Linked DNA regions of Xenopus tropicalis. The protein of the gene in region 1 purifies or fractionates together with the protein of each later gene. This does not show direct contact. Links are inferred from orthologs where the notes say so. Each region holds a gene or a part of one and is shown on either strand. Other genes may lie near its edges. The genes, in order: asph and lrrc59.

Evidence for each region.
Region 2: the proteins of asph (region 1) and lrrc59 purify together in Homo sapiens (co-immunoprecipitation; 3 studies listed by BioGRID and IntAct, with this or other methods). This does not show direct contact. The link is inferred for Xenopus tropicalis from reciprocal best matches to the Homo sapiens genes ASPH and LRRC59.

The regions. Positions count from the first base shown.
Region 1 is NC_030682.2:117,494,880-117,498,710, reverse strand, and holds part of asph (aspartyl/asparaginyl beta-hydroxylase), read left to right. Parts: intron 1-1,806; coding exon 1,807-1,947; intron 1,948-3,831.
Region 2 is NC_030686.2:43,888,892-43,891,816, forward strand, and holds the end of lrrc59 (leucine-rich repeat-containing protein 59), read left to right. Parts: intron 1-3; coding exon 4-108; intron 109-196; coding exon 197-269; intron 270-352; coding exon 353-535; intron 536-1,179; coding exon 1,180-1,421; 3' UTR 1,422-2,204; downstream 2,205-2,925.

The DNA.
Region 1 (3,831 bases):
TAATTTGAACAGGACTTTTAATTTACAGATTTTCATGTCTGGGTGACAGGTCCACTTTAAAGGCAGTGGTACATAGGACCGTTGGCAATTATAGAAATAACTTTGGGTATATTGGTCAGTTGGTGTATTGTGTGAAAATACACAATTTGACATGCCCATAGCACTCCGTTCTCAGGAATGACGATATTTCTGGATATTATGTCAGCTGTGTTTTAACTTGAAACACCCAATGTTGCTCCTTTATTCTACATTGCTGCTTCCAACACAGCGCTCATTCATCTCTGTCTTGATTCTCCCTTACCTAAACTGATCCTTTCCAAGGTCCAACTCTGCTCCCTCTTGCTTTTCCATCAAGGCTGATTAAGGGGAACATTACAATAATATAACTTAAAATAACAAAAATAAACAAATAAACAAAAATAACATTTAATCTTAAATGTTATTGTAACAGAAACACAAGGAAGGAGTTCTTTGTCATCCTTAATTAGAGATACAATCGGCCAGGGCGAGCACATTTGTATTTTAAAGCTCATATTGCCCTGTGTATGGCCCTGTGCATGCTCATTTATTTTTAGTTAGAAAAGTGCTTGTGACCAGCCTCTTATTCTGCAGCCCTGATCGAGTGCTTGAGGCTACCTGCATGAGTGGGAATACTTCAGATTATGAAAAATACATACACTTTAAAACATGCCCCAATGCTTAGCATCTCATTATGAAACTCCTGCTGTGCACAAAGTCTTCATGTATGGGTTGAAGCCTCTTGCCTCAGAAATAATCAAAGAATTGCTGGCTTCAGAACTTGACCTTCTCTGTTTCTGATAGACATTAAGATATTTGTCAGTGAGCCCGCTCCCTTAAATTATTCAGTAAAGCTCTAAATCCCATTATCACAGCATGAAGCTTTTATTCTTTGTAAAAGATATAAATTGCACCAGTTTAGGGGACCTCTATTATTTTTGTATTGCAAACAACACTAAACAGTATTACTTTGTATTAACTTATGTGAAAAGTTTTTATGAGGATACGTTTAAAATATATTTATTTTGACGGCATCTGTGCTTCATTCCTGCTTTGGATTTTTTTTTTTTCTATGGTCAGTTAAGCTTTTTTTGAAGTCAGATGGTCCACCTATAGCATGATAAATGTAGAGCATATATGAAGTGAACCATTTTTCTTCTGTTGAGAATGGATTTTCAGGATGCTGAAATGTACTTTTATTCATTTGGACCAGCCATTATACCCCTTTTCATGTCTTTGGAGTAATTTCTACATTTCTAATAAAGGGACATTAATAAATTATACAAGATAATTATATAATTGTCATGCTGTTAGTATGGGGATATCATATATTCTGCCTCATAAGACTATAAGAGCTATATTTGTCTTGAAATAGCTTCTTTTTTATTACTTCACAATGATTTAAATAGTTGTTTCGTTTTGCTAGTGTCGTTTATCTGAACACGAAAGAAAATTCTCCTGTACAACTTGCTTTTACATGCTTTCTGAATAAATGGCTATGCCCTGTTTGTCATGTTATTCCTTTACCAAATGACTCTTTACAAACTGGGGTTTGAACCTGGCAAATTCAGGTACTGCTAGTACATAAAGACCAGGGGAAATTTTTAAGGTCTCTTAATAGGGGTCTCTTTAATGAGACTGGGTACTTGCCAATAGATTATACCTTCTCCAGAAATCTTTCGTAAGCAGGTCTGATGCAGTATATCAATAACTTTAGTATGTAGGTTTTGATTTCCATTTTTTTTAAACAACTATGTATTAAATGTGTTTTTTATTCTTTTATAACAGTTAATGGTGGTAAAAATGGCAAGAAAGAAGGCTTGTCCGGAAGCTCCTTTTTTACATGGTTTATGGTGATTGCACTCCTTGGTGTTTGGACATCTGTTGCTGTGGTGTGGTTTGACCTTGTAGACTATGAAGAAGTTCTTGGTAAGTATTGTGCTCTCGCTTACAGTATTAAAATTTTGAATCATTTCATTATGCTTGAAAGAATACTACAATATTCTGGATTCCTTACTGATACTTATCAGAAATGGAATCCTTAGCATTGATAGCATGTGTAAAAAGGCTTGCACACTTGCTGAATCATGATTTTGAGATTAGTGGGCAAATAGTGAGTATAAGTTTGGCAAGCAGTGACATTGTGCCAAGAAAAGTTAATGCCTAACAATCGGCAGCTTCTTTGCCAGGTTTCTCAGTGTACATGCCCATACTGATAATGCTGGTTCATTTCTGATTATCATTGTCACTTAAATTGCAGATTACCATTATTGGAGCAAGGGATAACCAGTTAATACTTTTCTTTTAATTGCCAATATACATTTGTTTTAAACAGAGGCTTGGTACAGCTGAACCATATGACTGTATGAACTATAGGGTAAAATCTGTCTACACCCACCCCCATACCTCAGCAGGCCTGGAATCTAATGAAATTGAGTTTTATAGTTAAACCTTTGTCTTCAGCAAGTAGCTAATGTCTATTTGCACATTTGACAAATTGCATAAGTTATTTGGTTGGTGTTTGGAGTCTCAGCTGTAAACATTAATTTTTATTTATTTTTAAAGGAAAAGTAAAAATAGTAAAAACAAAGTAATCTTTATCAAAAAGGTAAATACAACCATAAGCACTAACAGAAAAGCTGCACTGAGTCCTCTAACAAAAGAAACGCAGGATTTCTTATCTCCCTTTTTGTAAACATGTTCTTTGGGTATCTGACTTCCTGTCTCAGAAAAATCATTCATTCCAGGGCCAGAGTCTGCACAGTTCTCTCCTCTCTTCCCTCTTCTGCTCCCCCCTCCCACAAGAATGCTGAGAACTCCCTCTCCCATCCCTTAGGAATGTGTGATCTGAGCTATAACAGCTAGAGCTGTAGCTGGAAGCTACTTAAAATGGCAGCTGCTGTCTTAAACAAAAGGAGAAAGCTTCTAGGGCTCTTTACTCCGGTATGGTAAAGGTTTCTGCAGAGTAAATATAGTGTTCTAGGTGGCACTAATGTGGCCAACCTATTGGCAGTAAAATGCCAAAACGACATTTCTTCTCCTTTAAAACCTAGTGAAAAATGGGGAAACTAGCTGCATTTTGCTTGATTGGCATGCTTTGGGTATCTTGCCAAATGTGCACCTATAAAGCAATAGATATTCCACAAACCAACCCATACATTGATTTGTGAACACATATCTCGTATGTATTCATTTGATTAGTCTTTGATTAGGGCTTCCTTCACTATGGGGCAGAATTATCAAAATATGAGTTTAAAGCTTAATACATACACATTTTGTTCATTTCTATAGCATTTTTAGAAGCCTGTTTATCAACTGGTGAGTTTTACCTATTGATAAATACACTTAAAATATCCCATAGGAATGACTAGAATGTGACTAAGTTTCTATATTTCTAACAATATTGAAATGTATTCAGCCACGTACCTAGCCATAAAGATATATTGTCTAATGAGAGCTGGTTACAGTTTTACTTTAATTTGGGGACATCATATTGTATATGTAGATTATGATTTTGGGAAAGTATTACCTCTGAATATATGTGTTTGGGCAAATGCTAAAAAGATTGAATTGGAGTATTCCTAGTAAAAAATATTGTTTGATACATCAATGACCATGACTAAAGATTTTTTTAAGAGTGAATGCTCAGTATCCAAGCATATTCTTTCACTTAATTACATCCTTTTTCAATGCTTTTATTACTTTATTGTTAATGCTGTTGTGCATAGTGCAATGTTAAATGGTATATTGCACGCTATTCCACTCAAATTCCATAAATGTAATATAATTCTAAAAGCCCAATTTAATGAAAAC
Region 2 (2,925 bases), on another chromosome or scaffold:
CAGAGTCTGAAATGGCTGGATCTGAAGGACAACCCACTGAAACCAGCTTTGGCCAAGGTAGCCGGCGATTGTTTGGATGAAAAACAGTGCAAAGAGTGTGCCCAAGGGGTAAGTGATGGCAAAATATAAATCGCCTGTTAATGACATTTAGGAATGGCATTTAGGCAGCTGATTTGCTGGTTTTATCTTAATGCAGGTTCTACAGTACATGAAAAGCGTCCAGTCTGATCACGAGCGAGAGCTACAGCGGAAGCTTCAGTTGGATAAAGGTAACGCTAAGCCAGGGGGGTACCAGAATATCTGCCGTTGGTCAGCGCGTCTGTGTATATTGACCTCTTGGGTTTACTTGCAGATCGGAAACAGAGACTTGAAGCCCAGCAGAGGGTTAAAGAGGAGCAGGACAGGGAATTGAGGAAGAGGATGAAGCAGCAGCAGAAGGAGCGCAAGAGGAGGGATTACAATGCCATGCAGGAAGCCCAGAAAGCCCTAAATAATAATAAGAAGAAAGCAGAGGAAGAACCTTCCGAGAACCACAGTGAGTGTCCAAGGCTATGGCATTATATAAAGCCACTGCCCAGTCTTCTCATAGGAACTGTAGTTTAACATGGGATTAAAGGTGAATGGTGTTGCCTGAAAAAATTACATCCATCATATCCAACCTTTGTGTCTTAAAGGGGTTGTTCTCAATTTTCATTTTTTCTTTGAGTTTTTTTTGTTATTTAGTTTTCTGTTCAGCAGCTATCTGGTTGCTATGGTCTTGTTTACCTTAGTAACCAGGCCGTCATTTGAATAAGAGACTGGAATTTAAATAGGAGAGGATCTGGATAGAAAGATAAGTAATAAAAAGTAACAATAAAATTGAAAGCTCACAAATCAATAGGTTTTTTTTCACTACCGGGGTCAGTGACCCCCATTTAAAAAGCCAGAAAGATATTAAAGAGGAAGGTAAATAATTTGACAATTCTAATGAATAAATAATGTAGACCAATTGCAAAAGTGGTAGGAATAGGACATTCTATAACATACTAAAGGTAAACCACCACCTGCTAGGAATAAATCTGGCTATAAATGGGCCAATAAAAGTGACTAACTTTACCTCTCCAGGCCAAGCCGGCAGCTTATTGAGCCACACATGGGGGCCCTAGGATAGGCTATATATGACTGTGTCTCTCTTTGCAGAACCAGTGCCCACCCCCAAGGAGAAGAAGCTGGCCCGACGCCAGTCAAGGCTGAGGAAGATTGCTTGCATCCTCCTCTTTGGACTCATGGTGGCGCTCTTGGGCGTGGTGGCCTGCCGCTTCACAGATCTGAAGACCTTCGAGGTGTGCAGGAGTGTGAATGCCGTGTATAAGGAGACCCTCAGCGCTCTGCACAGTAACCCCGTGCTGGAAAGGTTCCTGCAGGACCCATCCTCACAGTAGCGTGGGCATTTTAATTCAGTTGTGCATTAAGTAGGGGGGCTTCGGCACCCCCCCGGTTCTATTTGTAAAGTCACCATCGGGTTTACAGTCTCTTTTGTCGAGGCTTATGGTGGTCCCGGCCCTGTTGTTCATCAGTGTTCTTCCTAAAAATGTATGATTTGTGTTTAATTAAAAGAAGAGTGAGTGTGTGTGTGTGTGTGTAAGGGGGTGGCTACCCCTCCTAGGTGTGGCTGGTTTCCCGCTCCCCTATATATGTCATTTTCTTTTTTTTTTTAATCCCTATGAGTTCCAAAGGGTTTTGCAACATTTCAGAAAGGAAAATGTCCAAGGGTTAAATGGACTTTTTCTAAAGGAACGACCCCATGGAAGCCCGAATCTCTAAAGGGGGGGGGGGGGGGGGGGGGGGGGGGGGGGGGGTGGAGTTAATTCCATGTTTTGGGAGCCATGCTTTACTTATGGGGAGGAGTTAACTAAAAAAAAGTGTTTTTAATCATGAGCCCCGCCTTCCATTAAGGGAGGAGCTACCTCCATATTTTGGGCCTTATTCTATTGTGCTTTGGAGGGACGGGTGGAGCTGGTCTCCAGAAGAAAACCTAATACTATGAATAGAAGATCATTGCACGTAGGGCGGACACCCTACCCCAAGGTGCCATGCTGCTTCAGGTTGTTCAAGTCATTCACAATGGTATCGATGTGTTACTGCCATGTATTATACTGTGTATTTGGTACATCAGCACCAGCCTGACCATCTGCCGCAGTCGAGAATAAATACGGTTTTGTTTATGGCTTGCCTGTGGCTCAGTTATTTATAAGATTAGTATGATAAGAATGCAATTGGTCTTCATTTATTATTATTTGTAGCATTTTAATTATTTAGCTCTTTATTTTGCTGCTCTCTAGTATGGAATTTTAGCCGTTTTCTGGTTGCTAGGGTCCAAATTACTCTAGCAACCAGCAATTGATTTGAACAAGAGACTTTTATATGAATAGGTGAAGGCCCAAATAAAAAGTTAAGTAATTAAACAAATAACAGTAACAATAAAATGTAGCCAAACAGAGCAATAGTTTTCTGACTGCTGGGGTCAGTGACCCCCATTGGAAAGCTGGAAAGAGTTAATATAGAAATAAAATAAGACCCTTTGAAAAGTTGCTTAGTATTAGCCTTTCTAGTAATATACTAAAAGTTAACTTAAAGGTGAACTACCACTTTTAAAGGTGTAGTTTTTTCAAGAATCTTTCAGACCACTGCTTGGTTACTAGGGTCATTTGGACCCTAGCAACCAGATAGCTGCTGAAATTCCCAACTCGAAAGCTACTAAACACTAAATAATTTAAAAACTACAAATGAAAAATAAAGACCAATTGCAATAGCATTCTCTAAATCATACTAATTAAGTTACTACTAAGTTAATTTACAGGTGATCAGTCCCTTTATTCCAATTATTCCTCCCAGTTCATTTTCCCTATTGCGAGCTTCTTATGTACTGTTCCTGAGCGCACACAT